Cricetulus griseus: one gene and its partners. The protein of the gene in region 3 interacts with the protein of the main gene of each other region in a pairwise test. Links are inferred from orthologs where the notes say so. Each region holds a gene or a part of one and is shown on either strand. Other genes may lie near its edges.

Region 1 (4,119 bases), on a different chromosome or scaffold from region 3:
GTCTTCGTGGGAGTGGGAACGTGAGGGAGAGCTCGAGGGCATGCAGGGCGGTGACTCCGGGAGTGGAGCACTTGCCTCAAGTGCACAAAATCCCGGGTTCGATTCTGAGCACCCCATAAACCAGAAGCGTGTGCAAGCAACCCCCGCACTCAGAAGGCGGAGCCAGGGAGAGGAGTTCAAGGCCGTCCTCTATTAATTAGTGAGTTCCTCACCAGCTGGGACTAAACTATATGAGACCCTGACCCTGACTCAAAAAAAAAAAAAAAAGAAAGACTTCCTTACTCATGATAGAGATAATTGTTAGCGCCACGTCATACAGAATCAGTCTTTCTTTTCTGAGCCTTTGCTGCTAAATTCAAATAAACCAGGTAAAAAGAGTCCCGGAAACAGAATTTGAGCAGACCCCAAGCCGGTTCTGTTCTCTGTTCTGAGCGATCTGTTCCCTCTTTCCTGTCCAAGGACTGCCTGGGTGCAGAAAATCAAAGCTGCCTCTGAACTCTACATAGAGACCGAGAAAAAGAAGCGCGAGAAGGCGTACCTGGGTAACGTGGCTGAACGGAGGGCGAGCGGGGCGGGGCGGGAGAGCCACCGAGTCCAGCGGGTGTCTCTGGGGCTGGAACTCGTGCATGCGCAGGAATGGCGCGAGCGAGGTGGGGCAGGAGGATGGACGGAGTGTGCGAGGGGGCTTCGCGCTCTAGCGGGACAGATGCTCCGCAGGCTGCCGGCCGACGAGCTGCGGGGGGGGGGGGGGCATCAAAGCGAACTTTGTGTTGTTTTCTTGCGGTCTAGTCCGCTCCCAGCGAGCAACCGGTATCGGAAGGTTGATGGTGAACGTCGTAGAAGGCATTGAGTTGAAGCCCTGTCGGTCACATGGTAAGGGCCGTGAGTCCCGCCCTTCATCCTCCACCCTAACCAGCCTGACATTATCTGTGCTATTGCTTGTGTAAATTTCCTGCTGATGTTTGGTTTTCTAGAATGCCAAAGAGCCATATGTACACACGTACACACACACACACACACACACACACACACACACACATACATATGCATATTGACACACACACATACTATATATATATATATATATATATATATATATATATATGACACGATACATATTGACACACACACACATACATACATATATATATATACACACACATATATTGACACACACACACACACACACACACACATAATTTTTGTAAGTTCTTTTCTATTGTCCTGCTTTTCAGTAAGACCTGAGAGGTCGCATTCACAGTACGAGTGGAATACATCACACATGATATAATGTGCACAGATAGAAGGGATCTGGCTTTGGAGCCTTGTTAATGGATTTGTTAATCTAGATGTGATACCAAAATATGGGCGTGTCCACAGATTTCCCACTTGTTAATCTCCAAGGTTGAGGGGGATGGAAATGAAATGTGTCCCACCTGGCAGGGGCTTTTGTTCACTCCAGGAAAGAGCAACCCGTACTGTGAGGTGACCATGGGCTCTCAATGCCACATCACCAAGACAATCCAGGACACACTGAACCCTAAGTGGAATTCCAACTGCCAGTTCTTCATCAGAGACCTGGAACAGGAAGTTCTCTGCATCACTGTGTTTGAGAGGGACCAGTTCTCACCTGATGGTGAGTGGAAAATGGCCCTCAGGGCACCCTTGGTCCTGCCCCATCCTCTTACAGGGAGGGGTACATGCTTTCCTGAACCCAAGCCTGGCACTCCTGGAGTTCCCTAGAGATTAGGTTGGCGTTGTGCAAGGAGCTGCTGGAGCCAACTGAGTGGGTGTGGGCAGGAAGGGCTGGGGCTGGTTGCTTCACTGATCTAGACAAAGACTAAAGTGATCTGCTTTCCAGCACAGGCAGCTATGAGAAAGGGCATGCCTAGAAACCTAGATGTAGTTTCTTTTGTTTTTCTGTCCTTGGCTCATCAAGGCTCAATAAGTAAAGACACTTGGTTGCCAAACCTGATGGTTTGAGTTTGATCCCTAGGATTGACACAGTGGAAGGGGACTCCTGTCAGTTATCCTCTATCTCAACACGTGCTGTGGTGTGTACACGGGCAAACACATACACACACAAAGTAAATAAGTAAATGTTTAAAAGAGCAATGATGTAGCCACATTTGGTGGTTCACACCTATAATCCCAGCATTCGAGAGGCCGAGACAGGAATTATGAGTTTGAAACCAGTGGGGCTACATAAGGAGACCCTGTTAAAAATGTAAAAGATGGGGCTGGAGAGATGGCTCAGAGGTTAAGAGCACTGACTGCTCTTCCAGAGGTCCTGAGTTCAATTCCCAGTAACCACATGGTGGCTCACAGCCATCCGTTATGAGATATGGTGCCCTCTTCTGGCCTGCAGGCATTCATGTAGGCAGAACACTGTATACATGATAAATAAATAAATAAATAAATATGTAAAAGATGGGCTGGAGAAATGGCTTAATGGTTAAGAGCACTAGCTCCTTGCCCAGCTTTAAGAATAATGTTTATGCATTTGCCTACATGAGTTTGTGTGCAACACATGCATGTAGGAGCCCATGGGAGCCAGAAGATGGTGTTGGATGCCCTGGAATTAGAGTCGCAAGTGGTTGTGAGACACTGGGTGGGATACTGGGAACCCAAATCAGGTCCTCTGGACGAGCAGCATGTGTTCCTAACTGCTGAGCCGTCTCTCCAGCCCACTCCTGGCTTTCTTTTTAAATACAGACCCTGGGGACCAAATTTATGTCCTTGTGTTTGCAAGGCAAGTACTTTTACTGACCCATCCATCTCCTTGACCCTATTAATATACTTTAAAATGGACGCAGAATATATTCTGTGGGCTATCGCAGTAAGTATATATGATATGTAACAGTAAATGGGTAGTTGGTATACACATTACCTTGGATATATTTTATTTTGCTTTATTGAGAATATTTTAAAACTTTCTTTGGTTTTCTAGCAGTGAGATACTATGGTGCATTGACCACTCCATGGGGAAGTAAACTGGGAACAACGCCAGTGCTGGTCTTACAAGCAGCCTTAGAGGAGGTGGACCCTGGCGGTGTCGTAGGGGATCCCCAGTGTGACCGACATGCACCTTGGAGACAAGGAACTCTTTCTGAGTATGCTTTGCTTTCTCTCCTTTCAGATTTTTTGGGTCGGACAGAGATCCGAGTGGCTGACATCAAGAAAGACCAGGGCTCCAAGGGGCCAGTTACCAAGTGTCTCCTGCTGCACGAGGTCCCCACGGGGGAGATTGTGGTCCGCCTTGACCTGCAGTTGTTTGATGAGCCATAGCCACCCCGGATGATCATGAAGGACTTCCTCTCAAGGCCCCATGTGCTGTCTGGTGGTCAGCCATGGGGCAACAGGGACAGCAGAGACAAAGGTCCCTCAAGGCTCCTAGGAGTAGTTCTCGACAATCCTGCTCTTCAAACCATGTCCCGTTTTATGAATCCAGATTCTCTTTTCCTTTGTCCCCATTACAGGTCTCATCATGCCTTCTAGAGTCTCTGAAATCCACAATCTTAAACTAGGTTCCCCTGGGAGCCTAGATCCTTCCCCTGGCTGGAGGTGTGGGTCTGGTTACTATAAAATAGATTTATAAATGCAGTGACTGTATTTTGGAGAACTTGTGTAGGCCTCCTATTTCTCCCCTCTAGCAGCCCCTTTGTAAACTACCTGGCCTATGATGCCCGGTGCGTGGTGTGTTTAGTCCGATTGTGATGGAATTGTTGCTGCTTTGGAGTCCAGCTCCCACTGGGAAATGGGGCCCTGGATTGAAAGCTCGTCGTAATGACTCGTGGAGCAGGCACTGACTTAGCTCTCCCGAGAGCCATTACTGGAAGATTCTCAAGTGTGCGTTAGAGCTGTTCAGACCTGGATTAGTGTCTCAGTGGAAACACACTGGTGTTCTGTGGAGTGGTTCATGGTGTGCTTGGAGAATGGTTCTGGAAGCTCATCTATGAAGTTCCGTCCTGATGAATTAGATCCATTTCGGGTCCCTGGGAAGGCTTGATGGCATGGAAGCTCACCTATGAAGTTGTGTCCTGATGAGTTTTGGGGCACTGGGAAGGCTCCATGACATTATTGAGTCCTGGTTGCCGGCTATTATCGGAACATTCTCTG
Region 2 (3,500 bases), about 3.4 Mb from region 3:
ACTATCAGGTAACGAACACCAGACCTTTATATGGATTGAGATCTTTGTATAGATATTCTGTCCTCTAATTGCACATTTCCCTTGTTTAGGATCGTGGATATTTTGAAGAACTCATTACCATGTTGGAGGCAGCCTTGGGACTAGAACGAGCTCACATGGGAATGTTTACCGAACTAGCTATTTTGTATTCTAAATTCAAGCCACAGAAAATGAGGGAACACCTGGAGTTGTTCTGGTCGAGAGTGAATATTCCTAAGGTAACAATCTTCACCACTGTAAGGCAGCTCTAATCATTTAGGCTGATAGCAGGAGTTGGGCTTACATCTTACACGACTGGTCTATGTTGTGCAGGTGCTGAGAGCTGCAGAACAAGCCCACCTTTGGGCAGAGCTGGTGTTCCTGTATGACAAGTATGAAGAGTATGATAATGCCATAATCACCATGATGAACCATCCCACTGATGCATGGAAGGAAGGGCAGTTCAAAGACATCATCACCAAGGTATATACCTTCAGAGATATGGGCTGTGGAAAGACAGGGCTCGTTGGGGACGAACTGGCTTTTAATGCATGGGTTTCTCCTATTTTAGGTGGCCAATGTGGAGCTGTACTACAGAGCAATCCAGTTCTACTTAGAATTCAAGCCTCTGTTGTTAAATGACTTGCTTATGGTGCTGTCTCCACGGTTGGATCACACTCGTGCTGTCAATTATTTCAGCAAGGTAACCATTTCAAACCGACTTCATAGTGAAGATTCATAGACCTTCAACCATGGCTATCTTTCTAACAAACTTTATTTTAAAGGTTAAACAGCTACCACTGGTGAAACCATATTTACGCTCAGTTCAGAACCACAACAACAAATCTGTGAATGAGTCACTGAACAACCTCTTTATTACAGAAGAAGATTACCAGGTAAAACCTTTGGATTCTTGTAAATACTTAAAACATGGTTCTGATTAGGTTTAAAGTTGGCTTTAAACAGGTTCTGTGGTAAAAGCTACTGTTACCTTTACATTTATAAAGAAGCAGGCACGTGGGTGCCTAGGCTTCTTCAGTTAGTCCATAAAACTTACTTGTTATTAAGTACTTAACTATTACTTTTCTTTAAAAAAAAAAAAAACTATTACTTTTCTTTATTTTAGTATTTGTCTCATATTTTAGTATTTGTCTTTTAAATTTGCTTTTGTGAAAGATAGCACATAAATAGAAAATGTCTAGGTTAAGCTAGTTGCCTTGTTTTCTTTCACTTAATAATTGTTGACCTGACTGGAACTTGCCTAGTAGTGCATAAAGTGCAGTCTTGCCTCAGAATCTGGCTTCTGGATCAGCATGATTCCTTTAGGCTCATAGTCTAGCCTGTAAGGCTGAATATCATGTAATTTTATGAATTATTTCCTGGCAGCATAAGTTGTTGTCCATATTACATATTCTCCCAGCTCCATAGCTATTCAAGTTAGTATCAGTACTGGAAACCTTGGAGCAGATTGCCCTTTCAGAAAATTGTGCAGTACATTTGAGGATTTTATTTATTGTATTAGAAGTAGATGAAGAAGATTGACATCTGAATCCAGCTTACAACTTTTGTAGTTTGATGCTTGAATCTATGTTGTTATATTTTATGCTATCATCTAATTGCCTGCATCAAAATGAATTGTGAAAAATAAATGTTAAAAGTAAAAGCCTTTTTGACTTTTGAATTGCTTTGTCTCTTAAGGCTCTACGAACATCAATAGATGCTTATGACAACTTTGACAATATCTCACTTGCTCAGCGTTTGGAAAAACATGAACTCATTGAATTCAGAAGAATTGCTGCTTATCTCTTCAAAGGCAACAATCGCTGGAAACAGAGCGTAGAGCTGTGCAAGAAAGACAGCCTTTACAAGGTTGATAAAGTGGGGGTGGGCTGTCCAATCAACTCAGATAGTGTCTTACAAGTGTTAGTTTCATGGGTATGAGAATTGGTAGTGTAACTCTCTTTTGTGAATGTGGTCTTTTAGTCAGTGGGGTTTTGTTTTGTTTTGTTTTGTTTTTTAACTTCCAGGACTGGTTTGTGTCAGCATCCTTGGATAAACCTCTAACCTTCATTGTTTCTCTGAATAGGACGCGATGCAGTATGCCTCTGAATCTAAAGATACAGAATTGGCTGAAGAACTCCTACAGTGGTTTTTGCAGGAAGAAAAAAGAGAGTGCTTCGGGGCTTGTCTCTTTACCTGTTATGATCTTTTAAGGCCAGATGTCGTCCTGGAAACGGCATGGAGGCACAATATCATGGATTTTGCCATGCCCTATTTCATCCAGGTCATGAAGGAATATTTGACCAAGGTAATGACGCTTAGAAGTATATTCAAAACTAATAATCTTGAGAATATGTGCAATTCTACATGCATATTAGTTTTATTTTTTCTAATATAAATTGTTTAGTTGATCATAAAATGTTCCTATTACATAGAATTTTTCTTAAGTGTTGACAGATGCCATGACTAGGAAGGGAACTCAAGCTTGTCATTGTTTACCCTCTCTGTATTCTTCAAGTGAATAGCACTCTCTGTTTTAATATTTGAGATCTTTTAAAATAGCATTTTAAAATTAATTCCTATAACTCAGATTTCCATATATACTTCTGTAGACTCCCTTTGGTTTCTGACTTCATGTCTTTACCTGTTTCCCATGGGGAAGCTCTGTTGTATTAACAGCCTGCTAGTCATCACAGATTTTTTTTTTGGTAATCAGATATCTAATTTAAAAATACAATAGGAAATTTGCAATTACCCATGTTTCCTAAATACACATTAAATAAACTGAGGAGACAGCCACTTTATAAAATTTACTGTTCATGTTAGCATCTCTTTTTAATGTTAGAATAGATTTTGCTTGTCCTGAGTTACTAGCTATGCATAGAAAAATAATATTAAAAGATCCATTTTTGTCAGAACAAATCAAGTCTCACTTCTGTTCTCTTCAGCATGCCTGAGTACAAGTGGGGGAAACACTACAAATAAACCCCAGGATAGAAAGTTTTTTCCTCAAGGGATCACCTACCTACATACCTCATGTTGCACTTAGATTTTTTTTTAAGGGAATAATATTTTATGTAAGTTCAGTTCAGTGTGATTAAAAGAGTTACCCCAGTTTAGCCCCAGGGGAGCCAAGCTTCTTTTCTTATGCATAATGCCACCTTTTGAGACCTGGCTGCTGTTAACCTAAGTGCTGTCCATTACTAGCCATTAAGCTGCTTCCTTTCACACTGACTTAGCATAAATACTTCTGCAGTGAGCTTTGAAGTTAAAAGGATTCTCAATTTTGCTTCCGTTTGCCCTTGACTTCCACTTCGCTCCTACCTTTTTTAGTGGGTACATGTTTCTCCCCTGAACCTTTGTTGCTGATTCTACCTTTTTATGCTCAATATGGAATTTGATTTTTTTCTAAGCTGCACCTTCTGAATTCCTTTGCAGGTTGATGCAATAAAGGAAAAGGTGAAAGTTGATTCTTTTCCATC
Region 3 (3,500 bases):
ATGTAAAGCCTATGCTTGATCTTAGATGTCTGGGTCTAGATCCCCTGCTCTTACCAACCACCTTCCCCTGATAAGTTACCTGAGATGTGTATATAAATTTCTTTCCAAGTTTATTCTCTAGTTCTGGCTGCCAATCACTTGTCTTTAGTTGACTGCTGGACATCTATAGTTATTTTTCTTAACACATAACAGAATTAAGCATCTTGAAGCTGTGGTTGTAGCTCGGTGGTAGAATGTGTTCTTAGCGAACAAAACCTGAGTGTCTTATTTTTTTTTTTTATCATCCTTCCAGATTCCCCTATTGGCAGCATCACTTATCTTTTCCTTAATGTTTGTTTATTGTCATTCTCCTTACCCCTCCATGTTCAGATCTTGTCAAAAGCTACTTAAGTTTTGTTTTTTTTTTAACATGTATTTATTTGTTGTGTGTACGTGTACATGTCTCACAGAGGACAACCTATGGGAGTCAATTCTCTCCTTCCACTGTGTGGATTTTGGGGATTAAACTTGATGGCAGGAACATTTACCTCCTGAGACATCTCAGCCATGTTTAATTCCTTAATTGCATTCTTAGTGTTTTGTGGTTGTACATGTGACATTTGCTTGCTGCTTTATTGTATAGGGGTGAAGATGGTTTTTCTTATTTCTCCTCTGTGTTTGATTACAGCACTGATGCAGGTGATAGCCCTGTTGGCACCACCACTGCAACCAACCTGGAACAGCCTCAGGTCATCCCCTCTCAAGGTGACCTCTTGGGGGATCTTTTAAATCTTGACCTGGGTCCCCCAGTGAACGTGCCACAAGTGTCCTCCATGCAGATGGGAGCCGTGGATCTTTTAGGAGGAGGACTGGATAGCCTGGTAAGCCTCTGCTTCTCTTTTGGTGTTTTTAGTTCTTGCTGGACTAGAGAACTTTATTTGGCTTTCCTTGGTGAACAGAAATGTCCTTTGTAAAGGACAGAATTATCTATCTTTAGAGACTTCATTACCATTCTGTTCATTATTGGGATGGAATATGTCTACATGTATACAGATTTATTATGTTGATCTGCTTATAAATAGAACTTCTGGTATTTAGTCAACATGTTATTTGGCTATCATAATTAATGATGTCCTTACCAGAGTTCATTATTTTTCCTACTTCTTAACTTCTTGTAAGTTGTCCTTTGGTCATGAGTATCATTAAAGTGGCTTAATAATGGTCACCATCTTTCAGGCCTTTAAACCTCTGCCTTGTTGGGTGTGGTGGTCTATACCTATAATCCCATCACTTGGGAGGAAAGGCAGGAGGATCAGAAGTTCAAGGTTAACCTTGGCTACAAAGTGAATTGGAGGCAAGCCTGAGTTACATGAGGTCCTGCTTCAATATGCACACACTTCCAAAAATAAATAAATAAAATAAATTAAAAAAAATATCTTCTGTCTTTTAAATAGTTATTGGTTTGTGCCTTTTCCAGCTCTGAAATGTTTTAAGGCAGTCATTTGAGCATTTTTGTCTAAAATGCACCTTTATTACAATTGAAAAGAACTGCTTGACTTTTCCCCTTCCTCTTCACTTCTGCCTTTGTCATACTTCCAATTTAATTAGCTTCCAGGATTCTAATAATAAAAGGTTCCAAAGTCCAGACTGTCTGTGGACATGGGCTACCAAGCCCATGTTGTCCAAGATGGAGAAATATCAAATGGCAACAGTCAGTGTCTGGGGAAAAGGCCAGGGAAATGATAGGTCACAAGGCTCCCTGCAAATCAGGTACTTAACCTTGGTGGACTTACAGAATAGGTGTCTGATACTCTGATGACTATCAAGATGCCTGACAAGTTGATGCATTTCCCAGCAACGTTGGAGGGCACACACTGTAGGTCAGAAATTTTCAGAGATGATAGAAACAGAACCACTTGTTCTCTTCTGTATATAATGCCGTTGTCTCTTAAGCTTCACGAAGACTGTGGTATTTGACTATAACATTTGGGCTTGACTGATTGTAGAACAGTATTGAGTCATCATTCTACATTGCTGTATGGTCTTTTAGAATCAAAGTAGACAAATAATTTAAGTATCATGGAGCTGCCCAGGAAATAAAAATAACTCTTGTTGTACTGATGTATCACTTATAGGTTGAATAATACATCCTCAGGTTTATGCTTTAACTTCCTACTGCTTTCCCTGGAGGGTTACTACGTGATGGATTCATTGAACCTATTCATTGACAATGGGTTTAGAGATTGAGGTGGAAAAGAGGCCCTGATTTTGATGTTTGCAGGTTCATAATTCTAATAGGTGGATGTATCCATAATACACAAAGATAAAACTCAGACTAAGTACTGATTCAGATAAAGAGGCTGTGGAAGGAGCTAAGGAGATGGTTAAGTCTTGAAGGGTAAGAACCTGAGTTTGGTTGCCAGCACCCACATATACAAAAACAAACAACAACAACAAAAAACAGGTAATAGTGGCACACATTTTAAGCCCAGTACTCAGAGGCAGAGACAGATGGATCCCTGGGGAATGCTGGCCAGCCATCATAGCCTAATTAGTGAGTGTAAAGGTTCTAAGAACTCACTTGAGGCTAGGCATAGTGGCCTTTAAGCCCAGCACTCAGGAGATAGAAGCAGGTGAGTTTGAGGCCAGCCTGTCTTCATAGGAAATTTCAGACCAGCTAGGGCTATAGTGTAAGACCCTTGTCTTTAAAAAAAAAAAAAAACAAAAAAAAAAAAAACAAAAACAAAATGTACATGGCACTTCTGTTTTCTTAGTTAATTAATTAAATGTATATGGGTGCTTTGTATTTTATGTCTGTGTACCACATGCATGCTTGGTGTCTTAGAGACACAAGAGGGCATCATATTTTTACTTTGGGCCCTTACTTTTACTTTGGATCTGTATGTAATTTAATGTATTCTTTTACAAGAGCATTAGAAGAGAAGCCCACATTTGGCAGTGTGGAAGATGAGCTTCTAAGGCATCAGTGAACTGTGAGACTTTAAAATTCCTGTTCCAGTTACCTAAAGAGGAAAATAATTCCAGTTTTCTTATAATCTGTATAAATAGTGCCATTTCTTAAATGAAACCTTGCCTTATAGTAGCATTTCATAAAACTATATAATGTATATACAAATCTTGTACCAGAGAGATCCTGATTTAGTTAGGCTCTGGTAAAACTTAGTAGTCTGTATTTGGGGTTTTGTTTTGGTTGGTTGTGTTTGTTTCTTTGTGTGTGTGTGTGTGTGTGTGTGTGTGTGTGTGTTGTGTTAGATGACAGCCTTGGGTGTTGGTCCTGGCCTTCCACCTTGTTTTTGAGGCAGGATTTTTTTATTGTTGTTAATTGTTTTTTTGTTGTTGTTGTTGTTATTGTTGACAGGTTCTTCATATGTAGCCTAAGCTAGCCTCAAATTGACAATCCTCCTGCCTCAGTATCCCTAGTGCTGGGATTGTAGGCATGTGCCACAAGACCCAACATTAGTGTTGGGTATTAACTCAACCTTACTCCATGGAGGTCAGTG
Region 4 (4,198 bases), on a different chromosome or scaffold from region 3:
TCGAACTCAGAGATCTGTCTGCCTCAGCCTCTTGAGTGCTGGGACTAAAGGCGTGCACCACCAATGAACGCCTGGCTGCTATTACTTCTGTATGGCTTGTGGTAGGCTGGTCAGGAGTGGCTGGTGTGGGCTGTGTGTGTGGCTCTGGTTTGGCCTGGGGTGCCTGGTCATGAGTTGTTTGGCTGGTGGTGGTCTGGCCTAGACGGTTGTGAGCTCTGACTGTTCGTGTCCTGCTGGTAATGCACCCCTTGCCCTGCCTTCCCAACAACCCCACACCAGCTATATACACTCATCTTCTCGTCTGCCATTGTGCAAATCAGACAGTGGTACCTGGCAGGCCCAGGTCATGTCCCCAACTTATCTCCCACTAGTCCTTCTTTGAGAGGCTAAGTGGGGAAGAAATATGCCCTGGGGCTGCTTGGTCACCCTCCTGTGGCTTCAGTTCCATGTGGAAGTGTTTCCAAGCTCAGTCTAGAGTCCCACAGATGAGGATGCAGAGGGTGGGGGTACGGACAAGAGGGGCTAAGCTGCTCACAGGCAGATCACACCGTAAGCCTCCTGACCTTGGCTTGTGGGTGAGGTTAGGGAGTGGCCGCAGGGGCAGACAGCACAGCGAGGGCCATGCGGAGAGAGGCCTTTGTCCTTCCTCATTCAGCATGTCCTCCTGGCCTGGAATGCTGCCACCCGCTCCTCTGCTCCATCAGCCTGGCAATGACCCTGCTCTGACAGGGAGGAATCAATTTAGGGCCAAACAAGGACCTCTCTGGTGTCCTTGGCTTTCTTTTTGCTGCCTTTTGATCTGCCCTGCCCCTGGCTCTCTCTGGTGCCTATGAGAGCTTGGTATGGATGCTGCAGGAGAGGGCTCTGCTGTTCTCCAAACCACCAGCCAGCCCAGGGATCCCGTGGGCGCATGCCCTATGTCTGAGCTATTTTCTGTGGAGATTTCTGGAGTTCCCTTCTGCTTCCATGTGGGTACCTTCCAGTTTCATCTGCCTCTGCCGTGTGGTGTGCCTTCCCTGGTCTCACATACCATATTTGTGAACACTGAGCCCCCCTCCCCCTTTTTGTCTGACTTTGTCCACTTGCCCATACTCCTGGTAGGCGAGTTTTGTGGTGATATGTGTCCAGGACACACCAGCTGGAAGGATGTGGGGTCTCTCTGCCCAGCTCCCCAGCACCAGTTAGCCTGGCAAAGGAGCAGCTTGGAGAGAACAAAGGGGCCTGCTCTATAGATATTTGGGGTGCAGTGGCTGTGAGGGGTCTGCAGATGGGTTGTGAGAAGTCTGGGGAGAGGGAGATTGGAAAGTGCCATCAAGAGGGCAGGTGTCTGTGGGGCTGGCTTGTGGCCATGTAAACCTGTGGTGCCTCCTCCCCAACAGATTCCAGGTGTCCTGCTCCTACCTGAAGGGCATGGGGCCCTCGCGTGTTCCCAGAAGGACCGTTCTCTTCCAGCGGGAGAGGACGGGCCTGACCTACCGCGTGCCTGCGCTGCTCAGTGTGCCTCCCAGGCCTACCCTGCTGGCCTTTGCAGAACAGCGACTCAGCCCTGATGATTCCCATGCTCACCGCCTGGTGCTGAGGAGGGGGACACTGGCCAAGGGCTCAGTGCGGGTGAGTGCAAAGCGCTGAGGGGAAACGGAAGCCCAGCTCTACTGATCCCTCTGGAGACTAAGGTCAGGCTCCAGATGTCTTGACCAGCTGCCTCTTTTTCTTAGTGGGGCACCCTGAGTGTGCTGGAGACTGCGGTGCTGGAGGGGCACAGGTCTATGAACCCTTGCCCGGTGCTGGACGAACACTCGGGTACCATCTTCCTCTTCTTCATTGCGGTGCTGGGCCACACGCCCGAGGCCGTGCAGATCGCCACTGGCAAGAACGCTGCTCGGCTCTGTTGTGTGACCAGCTGTGATGCGGGCCTCACCTGGGGCAGTGTGCGAGACCTCACTGAGGAGGTCATTGGTGCAGCATTGCGGGGTAGGTGACACCTGGTGTGGGATGGGCTGGTGGTGTGGGGCGGAGGAATTGAGTGGGTAGGAACAGGACAGGGCAAGATGGGCTTGGGCTTGACCCTTGCATAGGCCCACCAGTCACTTGGAAATCTTCATTCTGCCTCTCCTATCCTCAGTTTCTTGCCCCACAACCCCCAAGAGCAATGACTTCCTAACACTGTCTCCAGGACTGTCTGGCATTCCCCAAGCGCCTTCAGTGTTGGCAGGGCGGCAGCTAAAGCCCACCAGGGGCTCCCTTTGTCTTGGTCTGTAGAGGAGAGGGTTGGGGCTCTTATTCTCTTTTACCACTTCCTTTTGCTTTTCGCCTCCTCCTCATCCAGCCCTGGTCTCTGGCCCCCGTCATTTTTTCCACCTCTGCAGTCCCCACCTGCAGTTGCTGACTCTGTTTCACTACCCGACTCCTGCTGATAGGCGTGGCCCTAGGGGCTACAGGACCAGGCCCATGACTGCTACTTAGAGGGGTGTGGCAGCTTCTGGGAGGTGGACAAGGACAGTGGGCACATCCAAAAACCTCACCCACGGTCTCCTCCCTTTACCACCCTTGTGTAATAGCACTTGCTCCAGAAGTTGAGCTCTGCTGGTGATCATTAAGCCTCTGTTGGCTAACAGCTGGGGAACCGCTCTGTGGTAGACCACTTGTTTGGCCCGGTTTCTGTGCTTTGCACCCCCAAACAAAAAGCAAAAGTCTCCCAAGTGGCTGGAGAGATGACTCAGAGTGAAGAGCTTGTATGGCTTACAGCTCTTGCAGAGAACTGGAGTTCGGTTCCCTGCACCTGAATTGGGTGGCTCACAATTGCCTGTAACTCCAGCTCCAGGGCATCTGCCACCTCTAGCCTCTATGGGCACCTGCACTTATGTGCACACCCTCCAAATGCACATAACTAAAGATGTATTTATTATGTATACATGTATGCCTGCAGGCCAGAAGAGGGCACCAGATCTCATTACAGATGGTTGTGAGCCACCATATGGTTTCTGGGAATTGAACTTAGGACCTCTGGAAGAGCTGCCAGGGCTGTTACTCTCTGAGCCACCTCTCCAGCCTCCCCCCAACCCCAATGCACATCATTAAAAATAAGTCTTTTAAAAACTTTAAGAAGGCATTTGACCGAGCAGGCTCCCAGGATTATGCAGTCAGATGACCCAACCCAAGGTTCTGGCTCCTTCTTTCTGTAGACTGGGCCACCTTTGCTGTGGGTCCAGGCCATGGAGTTCAGCTGCGCTCAGGTCGCCTGCTTGTCCCTGCCTACACCTACCACGTGGACCGCCGAGAGTGTTTCGGCAGGATCTGCTGGACCAGTCCCCACTCCTTGGCCTTTTACAGTGATGACCATGGAATCTCCTGGCACTGTGGAGGCCTTGTGCCCAACCTGCGCTCTGGAGAGTGCCAACTGGCTGCCGTGGGTGGAGACTTTCTCTACTGCAATGCCCGGAGCCCTCTGGGCAACCGGGTGCAGGCACTGAGTGCTGATGAGGGCACCTCCTTCCTGCCAGGGGAGCTGGTGCCTACACTGGCAGAAACTGCCCGTGGCTGCCAGGGTAGCATTGTGGGCTTCCCAGCCCCACCCTCCAGCAGGCCTCAGGATGACCGGTGGCCCGTGGGTCCTGGGAATACCCCACATTCCCCATGCTTCTATCTCAGAGTACAGGAGGCTTCAGGGGAAGGTGCTGGGGGTCCTGTTGAAGGTTGGGTTCCCAGAGGGCCATTCTGCACCCCACAGACCTGGGGTCTAGGGAATCATGGCTCAGAACCTGGGCCAGGTGGAGATAAGACAGTCTGGAGCCCAGAACTCCCTGTGTCCTCTGCTTCCCTGCTTCAGAGTCCCACATGGCTGCTGTATTCCCACCCGTCAGAGCGTAGAGCTCGGCTCCACATGGGAATCTACCTGAGCCGGTCCCCCTTGGACCCCCATAGCTGGACAGATCCCTGGGTGATCTATGAGGGCCCCAGTGGCTACTCCGACCTAGCGTTCCTTGGGGCTGTGCCTGGGGCGTCCCTGGCCTTTGCCTGTTTGTTTGAGAGCGGGATCAGGGCCTCCTACGAAGACATCTCTTTTTGCTTGTTCTCATTGGCTGATGTCCTGGAGAATGTACCCACTGGCCTAGAGATACGCAGCCCCAGGGACAAGCCTCAGGGGCATTGCTGGCCCTCTTGATGGCCTGGCCCTCTGGCAGGCACCTGGGGAGGAAGG
Region 5 (3,971 bases), on a different chromosome or scaffold from region 3:
ATATATAGGCTTTCCCAGACAGGGTTTCTCTGTATTGCTTTGGAGCCTGTCCCGGAACTTGCTCTGTAGACCAGGATGACCTGGAACTCAACAGAGATCCGCCTGCCTCTGCCTCCCGACTGCTGGGATTAAAGGTATGCACCATTAACGCCAGGCGCAATATATATATTTGGTTTTTCGAGACAGGGTTTTTCTGTGTAGCTTTGGAGCCTATCCTGGTACTCTCTCTGGAGACCAGGCTGGCCTCGAACTCACAGAGATCCGCCTGTCTCTGCCTCCCGAGTGCTGGGATTAAAGGCGTGCGCCCCCAACGCCCGGCTTCGCAATAAATATTTTTAAAAGGAAAAGAAAAAAGAAAAAGAGCCAAGCATTGGTGGCACACACCAGGGCCGGAGAGATGGCTCAGAGGTTAGGAGCACTGTTCTTCCAGAGATCCTGAGTTTAATTCCCAGCAACCACATGATGGCTCACAACCATCTGCTGGCACGCAGGCCGAAGACTGTATACATAATAAATAAATAAATAAATAAATAAATAAATAAATAAGAATTGAGTCAAGAAAAATCTTGTTCCAAACTAGATTCCAGGATAAACCAGCGAAATGACTTTGGGAACGCTCCCATCTCACCTGTGCAAAGTAGTCAATTAGAATCTTCTCTGTGGGGTTGAGGATTAAGTGTTCCCGAGAAATGTGATGCAGGGCACAGACGTTAGCATTTAAAGGGCTCATTTGCTTCATCCGGGTCAGCCCTCCGTTTTGTTCAGCGACGACAGTGGTAAACTATGCAGAGACGAGTACTGGAGAGCGTGCCACACAGCACACACACGTGTCACTGCTAGCCCCATTATCTCTCCATCACTCCTAAACGCCCCTTTCCCAGCTGCTTCATCTCCTCCATCCTCATGTCCTACCGGAAGGCCCCCTGCTGGGTGGTCCGGGCGGCACGGTTACACCCTGAAGCACGCAATCTCCGCAGCCGCTCACCTCGCTAAGGTGGCTTCTAAGAGCCAGCTGGCAACCCTCCACACCTACTTCCCCCTGATCTCCCCTTTGTTGTGACGCCCCAAACCACTTGAAGCCACAACACACCCCCGGAAGTGAGCAGAACGGGGGGGGGGGCGTTCCCGTCCGGCCAGAGAGGAGGCGGAACTAATGATACAGCCCGCGTTTCCCGACCGGGCGGGAGAGCCGTGAGCACTGAGCGTCCGGGTGCGCCGCGGGAGCCCGGGAGCTCGGGACAACCTAAGCGCTGCTCCCGCGACATGGCTTTCAATTTTGGGGCTCCTTCGGGCACTTCTGGCACCTCTGCAGCTACCGCCGCACCCGCGGGTGAGTCAGCCCCTGGACCACCTTCTTCCGAGGAACGGAAGCCTTGGGCCCGCCCCCTCGGTCCGATACCGTCCGGCTGGGGGTCCGTGGTGGCCCTGGCACGCGAGACACCGTGAGGACATTTGGAAAGGGCGGGCGGCGAAGGTGGGAGGGCCGCGGGCTGCTCAGGCTGGGCCTGGGGCTCGCAGGGCGCGCGCATCCCGCGTGGCCGGGCCGCCGTGTCGCTTCCCGCCACCGGGGACTCCGCCCGGGAGGCTACGCCCCTCTTCCCTTCCTGGGGCCCCGCGACCCCTCGGCCGCCTCGGCCGCCTCGGCCTCCCGGCCCAGAGGGCCAAGGCTGGAGCCAGGCTACCCGCAGCGCCCTCCGTTCCCTCCCCAGCCTGGGGGATGCTGACCCCGGCCCCTGGTGCCCTTGCTCCTCTGTGTGTCCCCGCCTCCTTGGCTCTCTTAACCGGTTCCGGCGCCGCTCAGGTTTATTCACGCTGTGAAACCTCTTGCTGATTCTTGTTAATTCTTATCTTGCTTTCTTTTCCTTTTCTCTTCCCCTCCTCTCACGTTTTCAAATTTTCTCTGCCTCCACGTCTATCAGGATTTGGTGGGCTTGAGACTGCCAACTCCACCGCCAGTGGGTTTAATTTTGGGGGTTTCGGATTAACTGCTAACCCTGCAGTGAACTTTAATATTGGGAATTTCGGTGTTTCTACCACCTCGGCGACTCCATTCAATTTTGGTAACAGTCTGACGAGTGCAGGTAGATACTGCGGGTCATGTGTGTAACGAGGGTTGGGGGCTGGAGTCCAAGAATGTTCCGATGTTCCTAGAGTTTGAGGGAAAAAAATGGCACTTGTCTGCTAAGGGAAGGGTTCGTTTCCTGAGGTCAAATTGAGTGTATGTCAAGTTTTGACTTGTCTTAAAAGATGTGGTTTTTTTTGGACAGCCTTGAGAATTAAAATGCTCCTTTGTTGGGTTTGCATTTAATCATACGGAGTACAGCTTCAAAATGATAAGAATTTGCAATGGAGTTTATTTTGGATAGAATGTTTTTCAAATTATTAGCTGCGGTATAAGCTCAGCGTTTCCCTGGGATTCTTGGACTCCTGCAGTCGTTTTTCATTTTTTATACATATTCCATCGGGATTTCATCTTATTGTCCTTGTGTTTCCAAGAGAAACAAGTCTTATACGAACAGCGGTGACCTGTCTTGTTTTTCAATCTGTATAATGACGTTTTTCTTCCATCAACACGTTAGTATGTATTCCTGTAAGAGATGGAATCATAGAAAGAATCTCCAATTCTTTGCTGCCATTTTTTGGGAAAGTCTCTATGAGCAGTGTAATTTACGAGATGACATTGAGTTCTAAAACTCAAGCTAGACATCTCTGCATTTGAAAAGAATTACGAAGATTTTTTTTTAATCTACGGGTTTGAAGAATACTAAAAGATTTCAGAACACAAATATGATGGGTGTGTATGTCCCAATTTAAAGTAGGCTTATGAAAGCTCAGCATAAATGACCCTTGAAAAAATCGTGACCCTCAGCTGCTCGTATATGAATTTACTGTCCATAGTCTATGTTATGCCACTTCTGCCCATGCCAATTATTTGCATTTGGTAAACATCTCTTCCTGAACTTACTTGGAGAGCCAGATATTGTGTCAATTCAATGAGTTGAAAATAATGTGAAATACACTTGAAAATTTCAAAGATAAAGTGACTCATTAAGATACATTAGAAGTGTTTGCATATCACTGCCCTTGCTGTGTTTGCTTTTCCTATTTTGCTTAAAATTGGCACTGGGCAAACCTTATTTTGAAATTTATGTTTCAGAATAAAGCAAACCACATAGTTCAACAGCAACAAATAAACCTGTTTGTATTTGCTTGATTTCATGTCCGTTTGAAGTTGTCACTGTTAAAGTTTTGAGTTGTATGAATATAATTGTTTTGATTGCTTTCAAATATGTTAATTTAGCCTCAGCAAAGAGCTTTAAAACAACATTTTTTGTATCCATACTGGTCTACTATTACTAATAAAGCATTTTTGGTATTTTAAAATGTGGTAAGTTACTAACTAGTGTTTTTGTTGTGTGGTCAATAACAGTTACTCTTTGAATGCAGGGAGTTAAAAGGGAACTAAAGACAGTACTTATTTTAGGTGTTTCATCAAAATGTTTAACTGGCAGCATTGCAGTAGACTCCACTGAGTTACGTGTGTGCAATAGCCTATGCACTAATTTTCTAAATCTGAATTGTATTGTTAAGGGTCAGAGAGTGTAGCCTAATGATAGAGTATTTGCCTGCCTACTATATGCAAGGTCCTGGATTTAATACCCAGAACCACAAAATTGATTAAAACTAGTTAAATTTTTTTGAAACAGCTTTTTACTGTGTAGCCTAGGCTCATTTAGAAGTTCTAATCTTGCTTTAGCTCCTTTAATGGGATTGCAGGCACATACCATCACACCTGTTCTATGTTGCAATCTTTATGAGGCTATCCATTTACAAGAAATATATGAGGTTCAAGTTAGAATCTCAGAAAACCTGGAGTATAACTCAGCATTTATGGTTCAAATGTTTGTTTTCAAAGTCTTTTGCAGCATATTTATGAATAGGTAACTACTGCCATACTCTTTTTAAAAATT
Region 6 (3,991 bases), on a different chromosome or scaffold from region 3:
CCATCCATTACGAGATTTGATTCCCTCTTCTGGTGTGCAGATATACATGGAAGCAGAATGTTGTATACATAATAAATAAATAAAATCTTTAAAAAACAACAACAACAACAAAAAGGTTATTTAAAAGAAAAAAACCCAGGGGGGCTGAGAGGAAGGAAGGAAAGAAAACATTAAAAAAAAAAAAAACCTTCCGGATGTATGTAAGGTATACAAGTAACATAAACACATTTACAGAAGTCTTTGGTCTATCCCTAGGATGCCTCACTATACATATACACTATACATATACAAAGATTCTGACATCTGAAAACATCCGAGATCTGGCTCTCTCCCAGCACTAAGCATACTATTGCCCAGCCTGCAACTCCTGGAAGGGGAGATGGACTTAGTCAACATTTGAAGCTTGTTCTGATCAAATCCCATAGCCTCCTCCATTCTATTTACACCTCAACACTTTTTTGTTCGCTGTGTCCTCAGCTGGGGACAGTTCCTCTGTATTACTTCACCTCCACGGCCCCCTTTTCTGCTATCCCTTTCTTCCCTTCCCATTACACCAGAACCTCTCTTGGGTTCACAGGCACAGAAACAAGCGATTTGCTGAAGGTCACAGAGCAGAGAAGTGTGATCTCTGATCTGGGAGAGCCTCTTCCTAGCCCAGTTGTCAGAGTAGAGTGAGGAGGCTTTGATGGGCGGGGTCAGAAGACTGACTAAGGAGGCAACCAACAGGGTGAGCATACCAAGTAGAAAAGACAAACCAGCTAGCCAATGAGAGGCCAGTACCTACCTCCACTGTCTTGTACAGAAAGGAGTACACCAGAGAGGCATTGGCATTCTTCAGCGTGGTGGCCACCACTGGTACAGGAAGGTTAAGGAAAAGGGGTGTGACATGTCCCCTGCAGACCCCACCCCATTTCTACTGGCCCTTACCCCATGCACTGTGTAAACTGTTCTCAGTGCATTGCCCTCAGGATCCAGTTCCTGGCACTCCGGACCGGCAAGGGTGGATGCAGTAGAGATTGCTGTGTTTGATCCACAGGAAGTGCACTCGCCCATGGCTCAGCAGTGGCGCCAGCACGCCCTCCTCCTCACGCTGCATAAGCAGTGGCATGAAGTGGTCAATCTCCGTCATGGGTACATCACCTTTGTAGTTTCGGCTAATCAGGGGCTAAGGGTGGGTAGAGAGAACTCAGTCACCACCAGTACCCAACTTAGGGCACAGGGACTTACGATGTCCCAATTCTCTTCTCTCTTACTCTCCTTCTTTCCCATACACATCTGGCCTCTATTTTGTTTTATGGAGAGGATGGTGAGATAGTTCCTCATGTAGCCTAGGCTAGCCTTAAATACAAATGTAGCTGAGGATGAACTTGAACTCCTGATCCTCTGCTTCCACCTACCTAGAGCAACGATTACAAATCCTCTACCAAGTAAACTACATCCCTAGCCTGCCTTTCCTTCTCCTATTTTTTTTTTAATTTTTTTGGTTTTTGAGACAGGGTTTCCTAAGCTAAGGAGTGAATTTGAAGCAGGGCTAGGTAACTCAAACATTTCAAAACAAAAAGTAGAGGGGGGTTGTGAGAGAGCTCAGGGGATGAAGGGTCTTGCCACCAAGCCTGATAGCCTGAGATCCATCCCCAGCACCCACATGGTGGAAGGATAGATGTGAGTAAGAAGAGAGCTGGGTGGTAGGGGCGCAGGCCTTTAATCCCGGCACCCAGGAGGCAGAGGCAGGCAAATCTCTGTGAGTTCAAAGCTACACAGAGAAACCCTGTCTCAAAAAGTTAAAAAAAAAAAAAAAAAAAAAAAAAAAAGACAGCTTTTCACTTGGAGGCTGTCCTGGAACTCACTCTGTAGACCAGACTGGTCTCAAACTCACAGAGATCCACCTGCCCGGGTCTCCCGAGACAGGCACCACCACCGCCTGGCTCCCATTGTCATTGTGGGTTTTTTTGTTTGTTTGTTTTTGTTTTTCCAGACTTGGTTTCTCTGTAGCTTTGGAGGCTGTCCTGGAATTAGCTCTTGTAAACCAGGCTGGCCTCGAACTCACAGAGATCCACCTGCCTCTGCCTCCCGAGTGCTGTTAATCCCAGCACTCCCGGCGTCATTGTGTGTTTTTACAGGCATTTTTATTTTCTCTGTGTGCATGATGGGTGTGAGGTGGTGTGGGTTCACGGCTAGGGTGTATGTGGTCAGAGGACAATTTTGTGGGTTGTTTCTTTTCCCCTTACTGAGGTTTGAGGCTGAAGCTCAGGTCACCAAGCCTGGGCAGCCAGTGCCTTCACTCACTCGTTGAACCTGTTTGATTTTGAGGCAGTGTATCACGTAGCTCCAAATTCCCTCCTGCCTCCACCCTGCAAGTGCTGGAATTGTGGGTGTTTATGCATTGTTCTGGGATCAAACCTAGTCGGCTCACAACTGAGGCCCATGCCCAGCCCTGTCATTTTACTACAGGGCTCTAGTTTTCATCTACCGCTGTCACTGTCACTGCGGAAGGGGCCGGCAACTTGCAAGGAGAGTGTGGAGGCCTTCCTCCAGTTAGTTACACTGTGCAAATTTATCAAGCTCACGGGTTGTAGAAGGGCTGTGCTCACTGGTTCAGAGCGCTCGTATTCCCATTTTACATGCAGGGAAACTGAGGCAAGAAGCGAAGCCCCTTGCCACAGACGCGGGCTGGAGAGCGCGGGTCCCCAGCTCCGGGTCCTGCGCCCTGGGCCCGCGGCCTCCCCCGGGCTCCCTCAGCCCCTTGCCCCCTCCTCACCTTGCCCTTGACGTCCAGAATGAAGACTGCCGAGGCGGACATGGTGGCGGCCGTAGACGCCGAGAGGCGGGGGCGAGAGGCAGAGGCGGCGGCGCAGCTTCCTTCTTCCTGCGGAAGCTCCCTCACCCAGGTGAGGGAGGCGGCCAGGTGAGCGCGTCTTAAAGGGGAGGCCGCCAGGTGAGCGCGTCTTAAAGGGGAGGCCGCCAGGTGAGCCGCGAGGTAGGCAGCAGACGTCATACTGGGAAAGGCAGAACTTGGGGTGTGACAACTGCCCTGTCTCAGGTTCTTCTGGCGATGAAGGATGCCCGGGTGGATGAAGAGACGCCAGGACATTGATCCTTGGATCGGTCCACTCGCCCACCGCGCGTCCGTGGGTGTGTCTATTCAGCATCTCATCCGCCTACCCAATTATCCATCCGCCCACCACCCCCTCACACACCCGTCCCTCCACCCGTACACACCCGCGACCCGCCGGTCACCCTCCCACACACAGCCATCACTACCCCGGGTCCGCCATAGGTTCACGTGTCCACCCACCCAAGCCTCGGTCCGTCCGCCAGGCAGCCGTCCGGACCGACCAATCCCGAGTTTGTGTAGCTGGTTCTGTCACCCACACAGACCAGACGGTTTCTGTTCGTGCCCCAGTGCCCACCACTAGATGTTCAGAGATGCTGGTCCCTCTCATTCGCTCACACTATACATTTTACTACGTCCGTTTATTTTAGTTTGGTTCGTTGGTTGGTTTTGCTTTTTGTTTTTTGTTTTTTTGTTTTTCAAAACAGGGTTTCCCTGTGTAGCCCTGGAACTCGCTCTGTAGACCAGACTGGCCTCAAATCCGCTGCCTCTGCCCCCGCGTTCTGGGATTAAAGGCGCCACTACGCCTGGCCTGTTTTTTGTATTATTTTCTATTCTACAAGGAAGGATGAGATGATAATCGAGGATGACCTGGCCATTATGCGGTTCAGACTGCCCTCGGTCTTACAAGTCCTGAGATTACAGGCACGAGCCACCACACTTGACTTTGTTCTTTGTTTCCCAACTTCATTATTGAATAGCCCAGGTTGGCCTTAAACTCAAGATCATCCTTCCAATTGCTGGGATACCGTTTTGCGGAGGATGGGGAAAAGCACCCCAAACCTCCCAGGAGCCAGCGACCTGATGCTCTGCTAGGGAAGAAACATTTCTTGCACAGCCGTTAAGCCGTTAGGGGGCGACAAAGGCCACTAGGTCCTC
Region 7 (3,500 bases), on a different chromosome or scaffold from region 3:
ACCATGACCAAGGCAACTCTTAGAAAAGAAAGCATTTAGTTGGGGGCTAGCTTACAGTCTGGGGGGGGGTCCCCGGTCTGCTGTCGTCACGGTGGGGAGCATGATGGCAGGCACGGAAGGCATGGCACTAGAAAAGGAGCTGAGGGCTACATCATGATCCACAAGCAGCCAGCCTAGTGTGGCCTTTTGAAACCTCAATGCCCACCCTCAGTAACACCCTTCATCCAACAAAGGCCACTGCTTGGTGACTAAACATTCAAATATATGAGCCTATGGGGGCCATTCTTACTCAAACCACAACATTCCACTCTCGGGTCCCCAAAGGGTTACAGCCATTTCAAAATGCAAAATACAATTAGTCCAACTACAAAAATCCCCATAGTCTTTCACAGTCCCAACACTATTTAAAACTCTAAAGTTCAAAGTCTCTTATGAGACTCATGGCAGTTTCTTAACTGTAACCTCCTGTAAAATCAAAAGGCAGATCACATACTTCCAACATAAAATGGCACAGAGCATGCATTGCCATTCCAAAAGGGAGCATAGTGAGGAAATACCAACCAAAGTAAGACCAAAGACTCATTGGCCATACTTCAAACTCTGCATCTCAATGTCTGATGTCAAAGTGCTTTTCAGATCTCCAACTCCTTTCAGCTTTGTTGATTATAACATACTTCCTTCTCTGGGGTTGGTTCCATTCCCTGTTAGCAGTTTTCGTTGGCAGGTAACCCATTGCTCTGGCATCTCCAACATCTTAGGGTCTCCAGGGCAGTCATGGCCTCCTCTCTGGGCCTCCATTCAGGGACAGCCCTGACACACACCTGGCCTCGGGAGCTTTCCTTAGCCATGGATGATTCCAAAACCTCTTTCTTGTATTGTTGACTCTAAATTCAGTTTCGTGGCTGAAGCTGCCAAGTTCTTCTGCTTGATGGGGCTGAACCTGCCCACTCTTCCAGTTACATTTTCATCATCAGGTTGTGTTTATGGTTTCCTTCGCTGCTTAAGCTTTTCTTCACAAGTTGGGAGCATAGCTGGGTGGAGTCTTGCCCTGAAGTCACCACTCCCTTTATTCCATTTAATATCAGACTTTTCTTTAAACTTTTCATCTTGAGTACTGGACTTAGCTCCTGGTACCCTTTTCTCCTCAAACTGCACATTTTGTGTTTCTCTTTGACCAGCTAGGATGTCTGAAAATCTCTGCCAATCCATCAGAAACTCTTCAATTTAATCTCAGGCAGATTTTTAGGACAAGACAGGAAGCGGCCACATTCTTTGCCATAATATCCCAAGAACAATCTCTAGGCCACTTACTGCTATTCTGCCCTTCTGAAACCTCAGTACTGTCTTCCATGCTCCTACTGTTATGACCCATTAAGGCTTGCTTAAAGCGTTGAACCACTTTTTAGTCCAGAATTCACAATTCACCAACAGGCAGCATGGTCAGGCTTGTCACATCAACACCATTCCCTGGTACCAACTTCTGTCTTAGTTACTGTTCTGTTGCTGTGAATGACACCGTGATCAAGGCAGCTCTTATAATAGAAAGCATTTAATTGGGGGCTGGCTAACCGCTTCCAAGGCTCACTCCATTATTGTCATCAGCAAGGGCAGCATGGCAGCAAGCATGGCAGGATGACAGGCATGGAGAAGTAGCTGAGTGCCACATCCTGATCCAAAGCATGGGGGGGGGGGCGTGAGCACCTGGTGTGGGCCTTTGAAACTCAATGCCACCCTCCAGTGACACTTTTCACCAGCACACCTACTCCAACAAAGCTGTATCTCTTAATCCTTCTCTCAATTAGGGCCACTGCTTGGTGACTGAGCATTCAAACATATGAGCCTATGGGGGCCATTCTTATTCACACCACCAGGGTTAACAGCACTGGCTTCTCTTCTCCTGAGTTCAATTTTCAGTACCCACATGGTAGCTCACAACTGTCTATCTCCAGTCCTGGGGATCTAACACCCTCTTCTGACTTCCATGGACACTCGGTATGCATGTGGTACAGACAGACATGCAGGGAAAACACCAATATATACTTTTCTTTTAGAAGTAGTTCTGGCTGTTTGTGCTGTGTGTAGAGTGACGCACTGTATGTTCTTTCTAGGCCTGAGCTAGTAGTGTCCTACTTGCCTCCTGGGATGGCTAGCAAAATCAACACTAAAGGTAAGAGGCAGCACCTCAGGGCATGAACACATTACATTCTTTGCTACTGTTCCTATGTCACGTGGGTCATATTCCATTATCACCATGGCCTTTGGTTTATTTCTTTGCTTTTAAGCTGTTTTACTTAGTGGATCTCTTTGTCTGTGTTGTGTTTTCTTGCCATCTCGGATATTGGCATCCTCCTTCATCCCTGTCTCCACAGCTTGTTGGCATTCATGTGGAGGGTTACACTGCCGTTTAATGCATCGGGTTTCTTTGAAAAGAGCCAAACTGTATGATTGTGTTTAATTCTCTGCTTTTGCAAAGCACCCTCTGTGGTTTTTCATGCAGCTTGCAAAGGTAATCTTGCACTTTGCCTTACAGCATTGCAGTCCCCAAAACGACCACGAAGCCCTGGGAGCAACTCCAAGGTTCCTGAGATTGAAGTCACGGTGGAAGGTGAGCCGTCCCACACTTTTCTCTTGATTCTTTACCTTACAGTTGTGTGGACTCAGTAACTCTGCTGCCTTTGAGGTTTTGTCTGAAAAACAACTGATGCTAAATTTATTAATTTTTTCTTTTTAATTGTTTTTCAAGACAGAGTTTCTCTGTGTAACAACCTTGTCTGTCCTGGGACTCGCTTGGTAGACCAGGCTGGCTTCAAACTCACTGAGATTCACCTACCTCTGCCTCCCAAGTGCTGGGACTAAAGGCTTGAACCACCACCACCCAGCGAATATTTTGCTTTTTAATGCATGAGTATGTATGTGTGCTCTCGAGTGTGTGTGCATGCGTGTGTGGGCGTTCATTGTTACAGGCTATCTCAGGTGTCACCCTCAGGAACACTGTCCATGTGCTTTGAGATAGGTCCCCTTTTTGGACCTTGACCTAGCTGGGTAGTCTAGACTGGCTGCTCTTGAGCCCCAGGGATCCATGTAGCTAGGGATCAAACTTTGGTGACTCAGCTACCTCCCTGGCATAATTTATGACTGTTTGTAATCTGAGGGTCCTGTGAGGGTTACTTGAGGGGAACCCCTTGGATTGTTTATCCATAGTCAGGCAGACCAAGCCCAGAGAGATGTTTCTCATCTTTTTCCTGGTGGTTTTTCCTACTTTTGATGAAATGCATTTATAGGTGGTTTGAATAACAGTGTGCTTGTTCAGAGCAGCTCTGTGTCTTCACATATATTCTCTTCCGGCCTCTGGTGTAGGCCTGTGAACTTTGGAAGCTCATTGTCTAAAACGGCTGACATAGTAACAGGCAGCCCTGAACCCTGGAACTGCTAGGCACATTGTTTTCATCGACGCAGAAGGAAGCAACTGCCTAGGGGACAGTTGATTCTTTTTGATCCTC

The links.
Region 1: the proteins of Ap2b1 (region 3) and Itsn1 interact in binary tests that used the Homo sapiens proteins (3 or more experiments, as listed by UniProt). The link is inferred for Cricetulus griseus from reciprocal best matches to the Homo sapiens genes AP2B1 and ITSN1.
Region 2: the proteins of Ap2b1 (region 3) and Cltc interact in a two-hybrid assay, tested with the Homo sapiens proteins (2 studies listed by BioGRID, with this or other methods). The link is inferred for Cricetulus griseus from reciprocal best matches to the Homo sapiens genes AP2B1 and CLTC.
Region 4: the proteins of Ap2b1 (region 3) and Neu4 interact in binary tests that used the Homo sapiens proteins (3 or more experiments, as listed by UniProt). The two-hybrid records come from large-scale screens. The link is inferred for Cricetulus griseus from reciprocal best matches to the Homo sapiens genes AP2B1 and NEU4.
Region 5: the proteins of Ap2b1 (region 3) and Nup54 interact in binary tests that used the Homo sapiens proteins (3 or more experiments, as listed by UniProt). The two-hybrid records come from large-scale screens. The link is inferred for Cricetulus griseus from reciprocal best matches to the Homo sapiens genes AP2B1 and NUP54.
Region 6: the proteins of Ap2b1 (region 3) and Ap1m2 interact in binary tests that used the Homo sapiens proteins (3 or more experiments, as listed by UniProt). The two-hybrid records come from large-scale screens. The link is inferred for Cricetulus griseus from reciprocal best matches to the Homo sapiens genes AP2B1 and AP1M2.
Region 7: the proteins of Ap2b1 (region 3) and Gtf2i interact in binary tests that used the Homo sapiens proteins (3 or more experiments, as listed by UniProt). The link is inferred for Cricetulus griseus from reciprocal best matches to the Homo sapiens genes AP2B1 and GTF2I.

Annotation. Positions count from the first base shown.
Region 1 is NC_048597.1:5,872,658-5,876,776, reverse strand, and holds the end of Itsn1 (intersectin-1), read left to right. Parts: intron 1-459; coding exon 460-542; intron 543-789; coding exon 790-873; intron 874-1,462; coding exon 1,463-1,636; intron 1,637-3,139; coding exon 3,140-3,288; 3' UTR 3,289-3,619; downstream 3,620-4,119. UniProt on the Homo sapiens protein: Adapter protein that provides a link between the endocytic membrane traffic and the actin assembly machinery. Acts as a guanine nucleotide exchange factor (GEF) for CDC42, and thereby stimulates actin nucleation mediated by WASL and the ARP2/3 complex.
Region 2 is NC_048600.1:99,942,533-99,946,032, reverse strand, and holds part of Cltc (clathrin heavy chain 1), read left to right. Parts: coding exon 1-8; intron 9-89; coding exon 90-257; intron 258-351; coding exon 352-501; intron 502-589; coding exon 590-721; intron 722-803; coding exon 804-914; intron 915-1,716; coding exon 1,717-1,887; intron 1,888-2,104; coding exon 2,105-2,326; intron 2,327-3,456; coding exon 3,457-3,477; intron 3,478-3,500. UniProt on the Homo sapiens protein: Clathrin is the major protein of the polyhedral coat of coated pits and vesicles. Two different adapter protein complexes link the clathrin lattice either to the plasma membrane or to the trans-Golgi network.
Region 3 is NC_048600.1:96,585,657-96,589,156, forward strand, and holds part of Ap2b1 (AP-2 complex subunit beta), read left to right. Parts: intron 1-667; coding exon 668-860; intron 861-3,500. UniProt on the Homo sapiens protein: Component of the adaptor protein complex 2 (AP-2). Adaptor protein complexes function in protein transport via transport vesicles in different membrane traffic pathways.
Region 4 is NC_048595.1:445,312,329-445,316,526, reverse strand, and holds Neu4 (sialidase-4), read left to right. Parts: upstream 1-1,398; 5' UTR 1,399-1,410; coding exon 1,411-1,611; intron 1,612-1,715; coding exon 1,716-1,971; intron 1,972-3,182; coding exon 3,183-4,162; downstream 4,163-4,198. UniProt on the Homo sapiens protein: Exo-alpha-sialidase that catalyzes the hydrolytic cleavage of the terminal sialic acid (N-acetylneuraminic acid, Neu5Ac) of a glycan moiety in the catabolism of glycolipids, glycoproteins and oligosacharides.
Region 5 is NW_023276807.1:157,236,986-157,240,956, reverse strand, and holds the start of Nup54 (nucleoporin p54), read left to right. Parts: upstream 1-1,171; 5' UTR 1,172-1,263; coding exon 1,264-1,330; intron 1,331-1,919; coding exon 1,920-2,081; intron 2,082-3,971. UniProt on the Homo sapiens protein: Component of the nuclear pore complex, a complex required for the trafficking across the nuclear membrane.
Region 6 is NC_048597.1:134,164,171-134,168,161, forward strand, and holds the start of Ap1m2 (AP-1 complex subunit mu-2), read right to left. Parts: upstream 2,801-3,991; coding exon 2,759-2,800; intron 1,166-2,758; coding exon 1,009-1,165; intron 853-1,008; coding exon 785-852; intron 1-784. UniProt on the Homo sapiens protein: Subunit of clathrin-associated adaptor protein complex 1 that plays a role in protein sorting in the trans-Golgi network (TGN) and endosomes.
Region 7 is NC_048597.1:113,349,401-113,352,900, reverse strand, and holds part of Gtf2i (general transcription factor II-I), read left to right. Parts: intron 1-2,108; coding exon 2,109-2,167; intron 2,168-2,530; coding exon 2,531-2,605; intron 2,606-3,500. UniProt on the Homo sapiens protein: Interacts with the basal transcription machinery by coordinating the formation of a multiprotein complex at the C-FOS promoter, and linking specific signal responsive activator complexes.